2 linked regions of the Oryzias latipes genome follow. The protein of the gene in region 1 purifies or fractionates together with the protein of each later gene. This does not show direct contact. Links are inferred from orthologs where the notes say so. Each region holds a gene or a part of one and is shown on either strand. Other genes may lie near its edges.

The links.
Region 2: the proteins of uba6 (region 1) and usp48 fractionate together in Homo sapiens (co-fractionation; 3 studies listed by BioGRID, with this or other methods). This does not show direct contact. The link is inferred for Oryzias latipes from reciprocal best matches to the Homo sapiens genes UBA6 and USP48.

Annotation. Positions count from the first base shown.
Region 1 is NC_019859.2:12,639,614-12,648,402, forward strand, and holds the start of uba6 (ubiquitin-like modifier-activating enzyme 6), read left to right. Parts: upstream 1-4,215; 5' UTR 4,216-4,299; intron 4,300-4,782; 5' UTR 4,783-4,831; coding exon 4,832-4,872; intron 4,873-4,990; coding exon 4,991-5,085; intron 5,086-5,192; coding exon 5,193-5,221; intron 5,222-5,323; coding exon 5,324-5,418; intron 5,419-5,969; coding exon 5,970-6,081; intron 6,082-6,469; coding exon 6,470-6,550; intron 6,551-6,642; coding exon 6,643-6,765; intron 6,766-6,930; coding exon 6,931-7,054; intron 7,055-7,172; coding exon 7,173-7,276; intron 7,277-7,370; coding exon 7,371-7,433; intron 7,434-7,675; coding exon 7,676-7,752; intron 7,753-7,850; coding exon 7,851-7,917; intron 7,918-8,188; coding exon 8,189-8,332; intron 8,333-8,718; coding exon 8,719-8,789. Other genes in the region: glyoxylate reductase/hydroxypyruvate reductase, read right to left, coding at 1,083-1,204, 1,281-1,411, 1,574-1,709, 1,858-1,962, 2,048-2,136, 2,225-2,341, 2,437-2,509, 2,602-2,735 and 1 more. UniProt on the Homo sapiens protein: Activates ubiquitin by first adenylating its C-terminal glycine residue with ATP, and thereafter linking this residue to the side chain of a cysteine residue in E1, yielding a ubiquitin-E1 thioester and free AMP.
Region 2 is NC_019863.2:19,922,788-19,929,703, reverse strand, and holds the end of usp48 (ubiquitin carboxyl-terminal hydrolase 48), read left to right. Parts: intron 1-66; coding exon 67-191; intron 192-836; coding exon 837-959; intron 960-1,027; coding exon 1,028-1,089; intron 1,090-1,169; coding exon 1,170-1,280; intron 1,281-2,265; coding exon 2,266-2,393; intron 2,394-2,847; coding exon 2,848-2,954; intron 2,955-3,031; coding exon 3,032-3,139; intron 3,140-3,343; coding exon 3,344-3,538; intron 3,539-3,607; coding exon 3,608-3,733; intron 3,734-3,810; coding exon 3,811-3,859; intron 3,860-3,929; coding exon 3,930-3,956; intron 3,957-4,034; coding exon 4,035-4,057; 3' UTR 4,058-4,510; downstream 4,511-6,916.

The sequences.
Region 1 (8,789 bases):
GGTAGATCTTAAGGGAGCAGGTTTCTGCCTTGTCTAAATGCGATTTATGTATAAAAGCCACTCCCCCTTCGTGGACAATCAATGCTGCAGAGCGTCCTCTCTATATCAGAGGAGATAGTGATAATATATGTATCACACTCAAATTTGAAAACTTTTACACTTTTTTTGTACAATTTATTTTCTTTTAATTTTTACTTTATTTATATAGAAGACTGGTGTATATGTAGCAGGATTTTTCATACTTCAAGTGAGAACTTATAATGAATAGTGTTATGCAAAAAGGTTATCAAAAGTTGCATTTTATTAATAACTACATGGACTGATCCGCCTGTTTGCTGTAAATAAAAGCAACTTCCCTGATCAACAGTTCATCTGAGAGCATTGCTCATGCAGCGTTGTCTTTCAGTGAAGCTGAATGAGAAAAAAGTCCTTATTACATGTTTGCCTTTCTGTAACTGTTTGATGTATTCTAACATCTGCCATAAGTGAAGTCATCACACTGTTTCTGTGCAGTAAATGTCTTATTTAGAAGAAGAAGAAAAAAACAGGATTCTGCTCTTATTTTGAAATTTGCTACCACTTGGTTTCTGGGTTTCATTGAGCGTAAATAGCATACTTGACTTGCAGAGAGAAATACAGTCTACATAGGTGAGGCTCTAAAATTATTTTTTATCTGAGAGGAACTTTTAAAGACTTTCATTCATAAATCTTGGTAAAGAGAACCCTTTAAAAAAAGACAGCAGCCTTGCATGCTAACTCAAATAAATGCTTAAATTGATTCTGCCTTATTTCTACCAGCTTCACAAGCAAACCTTTTGTTTTTATGCCAAAACTACATGATTTCCATTGTGTAACCATACGATGGTCTATGTGTACTGTTGAAGGCTCTGAAGATTGTAAAGTACTCTTGTTGTTTCAGTTGTTGATAGGCTGAATAAAACAAATTCACAACAGTAGTTTTTTTTTTTATCTATATCACGACAGAACAAATCAAACACCCATTGCAGCTCCTAGAATCCCAATCAAACCCCAAAGATAAACCATTTTTCCAGAAGAATTCATTAATTGATGAGCGTGGCCCCCTACAGCTTGAGCTCCTTGATCATTGGCTCGCCTCGCAGGCCCAAGAGGAGGTTGTTGGCTGCAAGGGCAGACATGGCGTTCCGGGTTGTGTAGGATGCACTAGCAATATGTGGAAGAATCACTGTAGGTACAAGAAAATACAAATTAATATCAGAGAAACAAAGCATGTTGAATCATTCAAACCAAGATAGACCCACCGCAGTTTTTGAGGGTAAACAGTGGATGGTTAGTGGGCAGAGGCTCTGGGACGGTGACATCCAGACCAGCTCCTGCTATCTGACCAGCTGCCAAAGCCTCATACAGATCCTCCTGGTTCACGACTCCACCTCTGAGACAGCAAAAAAGGCGAGGAGAAGCCATCAGAAACCATGAGATCTTTTCAAATTAAAATAATTAGGCCACATCCTTTCCTACCATATTTACTTGCTAATAGGATAATAATATATACATGTGAATATTAGAGATGATGTCGTGTTTGAGGGTGGCGCACCTGCTTGTGTTGATAAAAATGGAGGTGTTTTTCATCTTGGAGAAAAGTTCTTTGTTGCAGATCTCCTTAGTCTCTGGTGTTAAAGCACAGCACACGGCCAGGAAATCCGACTGCTTTGCCAGTTCATCAAACGAGACTAAAACAAAAGAGATGCTACATGAAGATCTGACTTTGGTCCGAATGACGAGTTACAGTCTCTGCAGCCTTTATTCTCTTTTTCTCCTCTGTGCGAAGCTGTCATTTTCATAAATGAAAGCATAACAATGGGGAATCATAAATCTTACCGTATTCTGCGTTGATGGCTCTGGCCAGTTCGGGCCTGGGAGCCACGTCTGTGTAGATGAACTTTTTTACTTTAAAGGGTGCCAGGCGCTCTGCGATAGCTACACCTAGAGACGTATGCACGCACAGAAAACGTAAAATATCCAGAAATAACCACTACTCCATTGTCTAATGTGTAAGTCTCACACTTACCAATCCTTCCCAAACCCAGGATACCTACAGTGCTGTTGGCCAGTTCATGTCCACACAGCCAGAGAGTTCTCCATGTGCCCCAGCCACCACTGTCACAGGCAAAAGGATGTAATAAATGCAATCAAATTTTTGTAAATTCTGTGAGTTAGGAACTTGTTTTTAGAATAAAACCATTACGTCTTGGCTTCATGTGTGGCCTCTATGAGTCTCCTAGAGGTCGTCAGCAGCAGAGCCACAGTCAGCTCAGCAACTGCATCAGTTAGAACTTCAGGGGTGTAACCTACACGGATTCCTCTGCAGGAAAATGCAGAAATGTTATGTGGAAAAATGCAAATCCATGCTGTCAGATGTTTTCATTTCATGTTTTCTGCTGCGAAGAGAAAGGTCACCTTTTCTTCAGCTCATCTAAAGACAGATGATCAAAACCCACTGACATGGTACTGAGAACCTTTAGATTTGGACCTGCAGGGACAGATTTGCAAACTTTCATGATCTTGCACCAAAAAGTCTATTTTAATATATTAAAATATAAATAAAATAAAATAAAAACAGACCTGCAGAATCCAACAGTTCAGCATCAATCTTTTCTGTCAGCACGCAGAGCAGACCATCAACACCTTTGACCTTTTTCAGCAGCTCCGCCCTTGGTACAGGAACGTCGTCTGAGCCCCACAGCTCAAACTGCACCCTATAGGGCAAAACATGAAACCACAGATCTGAAGCAACCCCAATATGTCGTCATCAGCCGCAGAGGTCAGAAGTGCATAATGGGTTGAAATGAACAAACTCAAAAACACGGAGGCCTCATTGTTCTATGTACCATCAAAATTTCTATTTTAAATATTTGGAAATTTAAGATATAGATATATTAAAGAGGTTATGGAATTTGCAATCTTACAATTTCAAATGCAAACATTAAAAGTTTTCCTCTAAAAATGGGGATCTTTACAAAACAAATTTGTTGAAAGTGCTTCAATATCAGTGAGCAGCATGAAAGACATTTCAGAAAGACATATTTTTCTAACTTACTGTCCTGATTCTTTGAGGATCTTCAGTCCCTCAGGCGGGATCTGTCGGGTCACATACACCCGCTGGAGGGTGGACATTTCTCTCTGGACGTTACTTGGTACGCCTTCTTTGATGCTCAGGGGAGCAACAGCGATTTTCTGGAGCCGACGTAGTGCCATGCGACTGCCCCACATTGCCAAAGAAGAGCAAGCCTTTGGAAGATGAACGCAGTTCAGTCTGTTTCAGACTTAGTTTTGGCTGCAGCTCAGGGGGGTGGGGGGCTCCTGTGGGAGTTTGACCAATATGCTGAAAGGGAGGGTGCCTCTCAGACTAAGGTGCCCAGGGTTGAAAAATAGTTTTCTGACAAATGCAAGTCAGGGCTTTTTCTTGTTTAGGGTAAAATAGGAAAGAGGCCTTTTAGACTGAATTATATGCAAACAAGAATGCATTCAAAACTTGAAGTAACAGTTACTATTGTGTGTTCGTCATCGTTGTCTTGTAGAGCAACAGGAGTTGAACGGATGTAAATGTTTCACCAAACTGTTGACCTTTGCTTCTCTAAACAGTACAGCACCCAAACATGTTCTGTTCTATTTCTCCAGCTTCTCCAGTTCATCAAACCCTCATTCTTTACCCAAGTCAAATCAGGTCAAAGTGCAAATGATCATACAAAAAAGAAAGGGTTTTTGATAAAAATCAGTACATAAAAATTAAATAAAAAGGGACAAAATTGATATATCCTACAAAGCACATAAATACACAAATAAACAACACAAAAAAGATACAGTATACCATCAAAAAGATTGATAGACTGACTGAATAGAGCATGTGTGCATCAATATTGTCTTGGCAGCTCTGAATCTGAAAAAAGACAGGTTGTTTTTGCCTGTCATCCTCTATTTGACTGCAAAGATGAACAATCTCCTCCGGGTTGTTTAGATAATTTAGTACAGATGGTGGAAATAGCTGGAAAAACAATATGATCAAACACAATGTAATGGTACGTATTAATACCAATAGGGTTTTTTAAGATGATGCCGTTCTGCTAAAAAAAATATGCAGATTTAGTTTATTATTGTTATTATTAGTATTAGTTTATGTACTGTAATACTCATTTTAATCACCACGACATGATTGGATGACTGCTATCACGTGATTACTGTAACCCGGAACCACTTCAAATTTTCAACCACTCACAGCCATTCATTCGCCGAGGACCGTCGCGCATACTGTCAGCTATTAACGTAAGTCGTTTGGGTTTAGTTTTTAACTCTATAAATAATAAAACCTACATTGTCCTCGCTGAGTTGGAGATCTCTCTAAAAGATTGAACAACCCGGAAAGTTGCATATTATATTAACAAATGTGTGTCACCACTTTTTATGAGTTTACGGTGGCTGTCCTCGCTACCGGTAACTGGGCAGAAGTGAAATCCGTGGCTAGCTTGTGGCTAACGTTGCTTTTTCCTCTCGAGATTAGAAACGAGCATGCGCGATCATTATAAACAATTTGTAGTCGTTGTAACATTTGATCAGAACAAGTCCTATGTAACGAGTTCTAACCGTGAACTGTTACTGTTGACAACTTGCCTCCCATCAAATGTCAGCTAGCCGCCAAGCTATACTTTTAATAAATAGGGCGTTGGTCCACATTGCATCTATTTACACTAAAGTGTCTCACATCTTCGATATCAACTTTCTATTTGTTACGTGCACCTTCTTCTTAAGGTAGAGTCGCTATCTTTAAACCGGCTGAATCAGCCCTTTTCCTCCCAGCATGGCTGCAGACTTGATGGAGATTGACGACTCACTTTACAGGCAAGTGCAGTTTTTGGTGTTCTTTTTTTTCTTCTTCTGATGACCTGAAGCTCCACGTGCAGCTGTCTGTCTCCTTGGTGAGTGTAGCTAACATCTTTATTTATGTGCTTCCTAATAGCCGCCAGAGATATGTGCTTGGAGACGGTGCCATGCAGCAGATGGCCCAGTCCTCTGTCTTTCTTAGTGGAATGGGAGCACTGGGAGTGGAGATAGGTGAGCAAGAGAAGAGGACACACGTTTGCACCACAACTCTTTATCTTTGATAGATTCAAAAAAAAAAAAAAAAAAAAAAATCATACTCAATCATTTCCTTCTTACAGCCAAGAATATAACTCTGGCAGGTGTGAAGGTAAGAGGGCTTTTAAACTTTTCTTGTAATAAAATAGCAAACATGTCTTTTTTTTTTTAGTTAAGGGGTTTTATTATATATATATTTTTTATTTTTAAACAGACGGTTACTCTCCATGACACGAAACTGTGTGAGACTTGGGATCTGGGGTGTAACTTCTTCATCCGTAGAGATGACGTATTGAACCAGAGGAAGAGGTAATAATGCATTCTGCAAGTCCAAGCATTGGTTTCTAAAGATGATTAACTGCTATATGTGATTATGAATTGGTTTGTAAAGAACCACTTCAATTAAAAATCAGGTTTTTGGTGTTTTTAATTTGTTTTTGTGGCAATTTTTCTCATGATGGAGGGCATGTATAAAAAAATATTAGGCTTTATACTGCATTTCTGAATATTTTTGTTATTTATTAAAATGAACTACTACTGCCCTGTAGAAACTGTGTCCCAGAAAAAAAATAGCATGATCATAATTAAAAGACATCTGGGAACACGTTTTGAATAGATCAAAAGATGATCGGAGTAGGACTTTAGGTGCAGCAAAAACTCAGGTCTATGCATGGCTTTTGTCAACTCATTTGTTACTAAATAACATGCGTAGAAGCCTAGATGAGAGAACTTGAAAATTAGTTAATAGCCACTTGATCTTATCGTTACTTATGAAAAAGTTTTTTCTTTTTTTTTCTGTCCTTTTGTTGTGGATTTTGTCTTGTGTACCAATACTCAGCCTCTTGTTTTGCCTGTTACAGGGTGGAAGCAGTGTGCCCTCGTGTTGGGGAGTTGAACCCTTATGTTCATGTTGACATGTCCTCCTGTCCCCTGGATGACAACATTGACCTGAGTTTTCTCAAAAAGTATCAGGTAAGTCGACATATTTTATGTTATGTTATGTTCACACCGAGCGTGTGTGGCGCCTAAACCTGGGTTCTATAACACACATTTGGGTGTTCACACTGGACAAGCTGGCAGAGGCTTCTTCTGCTTTTTCTTTTGCTACTGTTTACTAGCACATGTCCACCACCTACATTTGGAAGACGTTATGCTGTTCTTGGACTAGTTTGTTGAATTTTTCCAGAAAAAACGTCAGATCAGCAAGAAATCTGCAAATGCTCTTGTGCTATTGGCAGCTTTATATTAAATTGTACTGTCAACTTTTATGAAAGAAAATTTTTGTCATAATTTAAGACAAGATTATTCCTGTATTCCTGAAGGTATTACTATATACTGACTGCTGTGCTTTCCCCTGCAGTGTGTGATTTTGACAGAGTCCAGCTTGAGCCTGCAGAAGAGAATAAATAAGTTCTGCCACTCCCAGCAGCCTCCCATAAGAGTGAGTTTACAGTCATTCCCCTGGTTTTACCAAGATCAATATTACTTATAACAAAAACGGTTTATTTAAAATAAAAAATATGTCTGTGTTAGTTTATCTCTAGTGACGCTTATGGAATCTGTGTCCGGGTCTTTTGTGATTTCGGAGAAGCGTTTGAGGTCTCGGATCCCACAGGGGAGGAGCTCAAGGAGATTTTCATCCAAAGTATCACTCAGGTAGTCATAATACTTTCACATTCTGTTCTTCAAATTAAGACTCCTCCCTGTTCCTCTGCTTATGCCTCTTGGAATTTACATAAAGTTATCTAATCAGTTATCCTGATATTTTTGTTTTGTTGCTGAACTTGTCCTTTTCTTCTTTTTTTTCCATATTTTTTTCAGGACAATTCTGGGGTGGTTACTTGCATAGACAACCAACCCCATGGTCTGCAGACGGGCCAGAGCGTTATCTTTAGAGAAATCAATGGCATGGTGGAGCTCAATGGCACCACACGGCAGGTTTCAGGTGGGTCTTTAATCCAGCACATCAATGCCACCACATGCAAATACAAAAGTAACCTAATCTAAGTAACATTTGTCCTGTTTCTGTTTCTCTGGGTGTGTGAATGTGTTTGCTGCATTAGTCATTTCCTCCCATAGCTTTGAAATAGGAGACACGTCGCACTTCCAGCCATATGAACACGGAGGCTTCTTTGTTATGGTTAAAACTCCTCAGATTTACAAATTTGTGAGTACAAAATAAATGTAAAAAATAATGCAGACATATTCAAATAACTACATTTGAGCACACGACTTTACATGTTTTACTTTTTTTTTTTTAGGAAACATTAGAACAGCAGCTGTGTGATCCTCAGGTCCTAATTCCAGATCTCAGTAAACCAGAGGTGAGTTTTTCAAAAACTCAGTTGTGGACAGGTTTGTTGTTTGGCCTTAATTCTGGTTTGCAGCCTTACGAGGTTGCCTCGCTACTCCACACAAATCACCATGGTAACACAAGCAGTGTACCAACTTTCACCTTGGAGTGGTTGGGTTTGATCAGGCCCCAAAATTCCTTGAGTTTGTCATGTGTGAGACATATTTTTGAGTTGTCTGGAAACCTCACTGTGGTTTGAAATCCTCCCATCAGGCTCCGTTACACATTCATGCAGCCATGCTGGCACTAGATGCCTTCCAGGAAAAGCACGGCAGACTTCCCAACATTGGGTAATCAGACTTCTAGATTTTTTTATGCTTTCATTTGGGAAAAAAAAACTGTAATGAGCTGTTTGAAGGTTTCCTCAGTTTTGCTTTGATGTCATCAGATGTTTAGAGGACGCCGAGGCTCTACTAAAGCTAACCGAGGAAGTCAGTGTCACTCATAAGAACAAAGTAAGTGTTTTCCAATTATAGCTTTAAAGTCAAATGTGTCCCGGAGAGTTCCTTATCCATATTTATCTTGCACCTTTTTTAGAACACTATGAAGTTGAACAAAAATTTAAAATTTAGCCAAATAGATTTTTGCCTTTCTTATAACCATTATTTCAGATTTTATTCTGCCACTTATCTATACAAGGTAGCTCTACTGTTCCTCATCTTTAATCTTGCTGCTTTTTTATGTATTTTTTGCTGAAGTTTTAGTCTCCTCTTTCTGTCCCCACAGCTTCCTGTGAACGCTGAGTTGGTGCGCTGCATGTCTAAAACAGCCAGAGGGACTCTTCCACCTCTAGCTGCAGCAGCTGGAGGAATAGCCAGTCAGGAAGTTTTAAAGGCCATCACTGGAAAGTTTGGGCCTCTGCAGCAATGGGTAGGTTACTAAAATTGTTCTTCTTTGTGATTTCTTTTATTTATTTATTTTTTTATATTTAAAGACCTGCTCCGATGAGACCAGAGGTGCCCAAATTCAGGCATCTCTGGTATAAACAGACAGATGATGGGAAGTTGGGGTGGGTTTACTCCGTGCCAACAGTCCCGCTCACAACTCGTAGGCAAATTTCTAATAAACTACAGCCTCTCTGCAGAAACGATGTCCTAGAAAACAGGACATGTGCTTTTGTTCTTTGATTTTGGCTAAAAACAGCACAACAATAATTAAGACTACTGGAAAAGCTTTAAAATAGATCAAAAGATGATCAGAGTCTGACTTTTCACTGTTGATTTGATTTAATTGAATACCGCTTCTCTCCTGTTTAGTTTTATCTTGATGCTCTGGAGGTAGTCCGGCCTCTTCAGTCCCTGTCTGCTGAGGAGTTCTTCCCCAGAGG
Region 2 (6,916 bases), on another chromosome or scaffold:
CACTCAGACCTTTTTGCGTCTGTAACGGGAACATGCGGTTGAAACCTCATCCTGTTCCTCCTGCAGGAGGCCTCAGCATCCTGGAGGCCGAGCGGAAGCTGGTATCTCCGGAAGTGTGGTCCAAGCTTCGGGAGTACTTCCCCAAAGCGCCGGAGTTCACGGAGAAGCAGGAGGCCTGTCGACAGTGTCTGGTGAGGGAGCATTGGCGGCTTTTCTCTTTCTCTGACTTTCAGTTCTGACGCTTTTTTGGAAATCAGAAACCAAACTCGGTGTCGCGTTGATTGATGGCAGTTGATTGATGAGTTTGGTTTTTAGGGGGGGGGAAAGTTCAATTCTCACTTGATTAGAAGTTCAGAAGAAACACATTTTGACCTGTAACCTGTTCAGCTCCAGATGAAGGAGCTTTCAGGACAAACTAATCTCAGAGGAAAAACTATCAAACTAAAATCCTGCAAATCTCCAGAGTTGAAAGATACTCTCTTTAGAACAGAAACATACATTTCCTGTGAAAATATATGTGTATGCTGATAGCTTAAGATGCACATGTTTTAGTGTTCAAAAGGACATTTAGAGATGGAAATATTTGATTGAACTTTAATATTTCTTCATGTTTTCTGCAAAAGTTTCAGGCTTGACTATAAAATAGAAATATAAAAAATATAAAATAGAAAACTTTTACATTTTTAAAATATTTTTAGCTTTCTTATATTATTTTAGGTTTAATCTAATTTAGTTTTACATTTTAGATATAGATGTTAAAAATGAATCAAAAAATTAAACAGGCTGACGATGGTCACAGTTCAGGTAACGGTCATGTGGCTCCTCTTTGTGTCCAGACTTTGGAGCAGGAGGAGAAGGACAATGAGGCCGTCAGTAAGATGATGGCGCTTGACCAGAAGAACCAGCTGCTCAACCTCTTCCATGAGAAGAACCGGCCCACGCTTTCAAAGTGGCCTCAGGTCAGAACCAGACCGAGTCTCTGAAACCGCCCTGGCACTCCTCCTCTGACTCACGTTTGTTTCCTCAGAACACGGATGTTCTGTATGTGGTTCCTCTGTTCTTTGTGGAGGAGTGGAGGAAGTTCATCAGGTTTGTTTCCTTTAGCTTAAGTTTTTTTCTCAATTCATCAGGAGAAAAGTTCAGATCTTACAGCTGTGTTTGCTCTGCAGGAGGCCCACTAAATCCTCCCCAGTGTCTAACGTGGGGAACAGCCTCCTGTTGTGCCCTCATGGGGGGTTCATGTTCACCTACGACTCCTTGATCAGTGGCGACGCTCAGCAGTGAGTTCAGCTTCCCGTTTTCTGTCTTTGATCAAGGAAAGACGATGTAAGGATGCAGGATCACTGCATGTAACAACCTCTGCAGCCCCCCCCCCCAGGCTCAATGATCAGGTTTTTGTTTTTTTTAACATGAAATCTAATTCTGTGTAAATTCTACCTAAATCAGGGGGTCAAACTGTGAAGCAGTAAAGACAATTAGACGGGCCAAACACTATATTTGATATGTAATGTTTAACCTTATCAAATAGTGTCTATTTATGTTATACCAGTGGTTCTCAAATTTTGTCTCTTGCCCCTCCCCCCTTTGAGGAAAAAAATGTTCATTCTCTCCCACCGCAAAGAAACTGTGACAAAATATGCCAAATATGTTCAACTTTAACACCATGTCATAATCTTACCTCCTGGCCTCGCTGTGGAACCACAGCCGAGTGTTTTGCTCCCATCTCTTCACAAAGTGGGGAGAACAGCCGCGCTTTCAGGGGTCTTCAGGCGTCAACGTCCGGGCGGCACCACCGTTCTTTTAGGACGTTAAAACAGCCGTTAACCAAAGTAATTATGTCTTCAAATGGCATGGTCAGTATAAGGTTAATGTAAGTGACATGAGTCCCGCGGATATTCGGTCCCGAAGGCTGGTTTGTTTATGTTCTGCCGCGAAATAAATTCTGACGTCCAAACATTAGTTGTGGCCCGCCAAGTGTATTTTCTCCATCACAAATGAGCTCTTTTTCCAACGCCATCTTTTCCTCCGCTTCTGATTCACAACAACTTGAAGAAATACTAAGAAATGCATTTTTTAGCTTAATTTTTTTTTAAATATGTCCTCCGTCATCAGAAAAATGCCACAAGAACCTGTTAAAAACTCATCCCTCATCAGAGGGAAACAATCCTTCAATTCTAGCTTTGGGTCTGTTCTCTCACACACACACATAACAGACAGCGAGGTGTTGCTGCTGCCCTCTCATGTTGTGCTGTCTGTCTGGCACAGTATAGCTCTGCTCTGGCCCAGCGAGTGGGAGGTCATCAGCAGACTGTTCATCGTTGATCAGGCCATATCCATCCACTGCCTCAGAGAGAGCACGGAGGGCTCCACCCCTCAGTACACCACCCAGCCTGGTAAGATCTGCAGCTCAGCGCTCAGTCCGCTTACATCTTAACATTTGCAGCTCATATAAAACGTGTGTTCATGTGTCGCAGCAGAAAGGCTCCTGGTCCGTCATCTCAGAGGATATTCTGAAAAATACTTTGGCTTTATTTAAACACGAATTCCTTATCAGATTTAGTCTTGGCAGAGAAATGATGCACAAAGCAGCAGCACGAGTGGCTTCAAATTAGACTTCTGGTAATCTGGGATCAATCAAAAGAATTTGATAGATTACTGCCTGACTTTATTTCTGATTAAGTAAATAGAAATTCTTTGTTGTTTTTTTTTCTTTCAAGGTGATGCTTAACTAAGTTGAGTCCTGGCATAAATATATTTTGCTAATGAGTGTAAAATGGCATAGAGGCTACTTCAGGGTGCTGGCAGACCCTGGTGTTTGTGTTTGACCCGAGTCTGGTGTGTGTTCAGAGCTGTGCTGGGACTGCAGGGAGAGCTTCCTGTTCCAGCAGCAGAAGGACCTCAGAGAGTACAACCAAGCAACCATCTACATCCGCAAAGTCCTGGAAGACGCCAGGGTGAGCCAGCGCACAGAGCACCCGCAACTTCTGCGCAGGAAGGTCACGGTTTAACCCGCTCTACCATTTCTGCACAGATGGTGAAGGATGTGACTCCAGAGATGAACGCCAGCAGCTCCGAGGCTGAGGAGGAGCGAGAGGAGCATCTGAAGTTGGAAGGAGGCGAAGACCCAGATTTTAGTCAGGTGTGTTGCGACCAGTCTCATCACCTGACAGCTGCGTGTGGCTCTTTCTCAGTCTGCAGAAATAATCCTAGCATTGATGTGTGCTGAGCTGTCGACAGCAGTTTTGTTAGATCAAAAGGGGTGTGGCATCCGCCTGCGTGGTCCCACGCGGGTTCAGAGTCACCTGACTGCTCACCCCCTGTCTGTCTGCTCTGTTGCTTTCAGTCGGCCCTGCTGCAGTCTCAGGATGGGGCGAAGCGGCTGAGACTGGCCGATGGCACTGTCGCTCCTGCAGCTCTTCCTGTGACCACCTCAGCCAAAGTGGGCGGGATCAGGAGGAGTACTCGACATCGGAAACTGCGGGGGGAGAAAGCCCTCATTGTCTCAGCCAATCAGACGCTAAAGGAGCTGAAGATACAGGTAAGGGGGAGGAGCTCTGCAGGTAATAAAGATGTGAGTGAGCGGCTCTGACTCCCTGTGTTGCTGCAGATCATGCACGCCTTTTCTGTGGCGCCATTTGACCAAAACCTCTCCATTGATGGAAAGAGCCTGACGGATGACTCGGCCACGCTGGGCAGCCTGGGCGTCGTCCCAGAGAGCATCATATGCTTAAAGGTTTGATACTGGGGGTGGGGGGAGTCATTCTTGTGTCTGATAGTTCTGGTAACGCTCGTGACTGTGTCCCCCCGCAGGCCGACGAACCCATCGCAGATTACGCCGCCATGGATGACGCCTATCAAGGTAAGTGTGTTGATCTGCAGAAGCTCTCAAATCCTGAAGGTTCCACTGACGTTGTCTGCTTCATCCACAGTGAGGCTACCGGAGGAGGGGTTCAAAGGTGAGGTTCAACGATCGCACATGCAAACAGGAGCACGTTCACGCCCTCTGCTCCACTAACAGCCTTTTCTGTCTGCAGGAACGGGGCTTCTGGGACACTGAGGAACGCTGCAGCCATGACCGATGATGTTTTACACAAAAGCTTGAATTTGTCAAGTGTCTATAAATAAATAAGTGCTTTAATTTTTAATGTTTTCACCAAGTTTTCTTGAAGCTGTCAGCGTGGTGCCCGTAATCGTCAAACTGAGGCATATGGTGGCTGGCGAGGGGGGGGTCAGCAGAGCAACGAGGTTTTATGGTCAGAAACACTTCTGATTGTAGAAGTTTAACTTCTTAAATGTGTCAAAAGACTCCAGTAGGTCCAGATTCTTCCAAATGTTCTGCCGAACCATGCAGACAAACACTGACCGAAATACAAGGATTGTGGTTGAGAGGGAACATATTGCATTTTTGTTTTCAAGTTGAGGGTTTAAGAGTTTCTATGGAAGCAGATAAATGACAGAAAATATTGGTTATCTGATTTGTGAATGAAAAATAAATTATTTTCTGATCTCAGTTTGTAAAGTCTTGAAAAGTATTCTGATTCCTGCATTATTTTGCATTTTACAGCTTTACGTATAAATTAAACTCAGCAAAATGATGTGACACTAACTTTAAACTCTGATGGAGTTTAAACTATGAAGCTAAAATCCTGTAAACCTAAAAGAAAATGATAAATAATTCTAAGATAAATTGCTCATAATTACAATTACATTTGAGATTATATGAAATAAATCTTTGCTCAAAACACTTTTTCCTCATTGAAACATTGAATTTCTGAAGACAAACGTTTCACTACTGTGACTAATATTAAAAACAGAAAACATGAACCGGAGTGTGGCTGGTCTCCAGTCCCAAAGATCTTAACTCTATCAGATTCTCCAGATTTTGTGTTCTGTTCAGTCATTCACACATGTGGTTCTGCTTGTTTACATTACCTAACCGAGAAGCTGTGTGTGTGCATGTCAGTTTCATTGAGCAGGTCGTCGACCCTCAGGAGGATTACTTGCTTTCTCTTTTCAGGCCCACAGCTGGACAGAACCTAGATTCTGCCTTTACAGTTTTCTTTAATCTAATTGGGATATTTCCTGATGCTTCTCATGGCCTGCAGGTGCTGACTCCTCATAATCTGTCCTCAAACTGGAGCTGGGAGCTGCATTGAAGAGCATCTACATTGACATACTCAAGCACACTCATGCACAAGCAAACGGGGTTACATGCAGAGACAAGTGCACACGGACAGATGCTCACCTGTGCACACGGACTAGTGTGGACACACGGTTGCACGCAGACAGGCTAATGTGCAGACACATATAGGTGCACACAGGCTAACACGTATGCATGTACATAAACACGTGCCCAGAGGGAAGTCGTGTCCAAAAATTGTACTCAATAGTAGCATTGCTTTAAAAGTAAAGGTGAAAACTACTTGTCTGAATATTTGTATTAACAAGAATAAAACTAAAAAAGCTACTTCAATACCTTGATTGATTTTTCTTTCTTTAATGTGTAAATTTAAGTAATTTTAAGTATTATTTTAACAGAAAATAAACCTTCTCATAGTGTTTGCAGCCCCTTTGGTAACAGAAGGGCTTCCACTGATGCCTACAATAAAATTTGAGATGCATAAAATTCCAATTCAATAAGCTAGTATTGTTCAAATCTGTTGGGCAAAACACAATAATTATCAATATACAATATTTACATTTTTGCTGTCTTTCATTAGAATATCTTGCAATCCCGGTATTTTTTCCTGCTACAATGACTTTTCAGCATAAAAATGTTGTTTTAAGCTCATCTCTGCTGCATTGGAGCATTAATGAGCTTCTGGTTGTACAGTCGAAGCTAAACTATAAGGTGAGATTTGCGGTTTGAAATCTTGATACTGACCAACGTTGACAAGGACCCTCTTACTTAACTGTCTGCCAAATTGTGGTGGACCAAGCAGTGGAAGTCAAGGACAGCAAACAATTTTATCAAAAATATTTAAATTTATTTTTCAAAAAGTGGAAATGGGAAAAAATGGGCCCTTAAAAGAGGTCCAAGTAACAAAATTAACTCAAGCTTTTAAATGTAACAGAGGACAACTGAACAGACAAACCAACTTAATTAAACTGACCTACCTAATTAAAAACACAAGGGAACATATATAGTGGCAGATCAAACCAACTAGACACACAAGGGGGAACTTAAAAAGACTAAGACAAACTACAACAAACAAACTAAACTTAAGTCCATCCTTTGGTAAATTAACATACACAAATGAATGACAAATAAAGATCATCAAAATAGAAACTAAGGTAAAGAAACACCAAAAAGAGTTCCTTGTCCACTATGGTTCAGTCCAATTAGCTGCCTGCTAAACATGAAGCCTCTGCTGACTGGCATGCATTGTTGTGTCAGGCCTGACTTGCTGGTTCCAGCACCAGCAGCAGCAGCAGCAGCAACAACAACAACAACAGCAACAACGGTTCCCTCAGCACTGGTAACTCAAACAAAACATCAAATTAATGAAGCAGATTATAATAAAGTAAACTGAAACATGTTAATAAATTTCATGTTCAAACATGTGTTTGGGTTATGTTTGAAAAAAGAAAACTAAAAGTATATGCAAACAAAAAAAGTGAACAGATATATGTAGGGTGTGGTGCAGGGTGGCAGCATAGGCAGCCATCACAAAGGTATTGTGCCTCCTTAGAATAAAGCAAACAACTTTTACTATGAAAATAAAGGTAACTGAATGAAAACAGCCATATAGCTGACTGCAGCAAAAGTAAGCCGTTTGGTATTGTAAAAGTACCTTAAATTGTATTATTTTTTTTTTTTTTACAAATAGCTACCCAGTTCATTTTAGTCATTATTCCCTCCTCTGCACAAGGACACTACTAAAGAGTATGAGTACATTTGTTGGTCCAACATTTT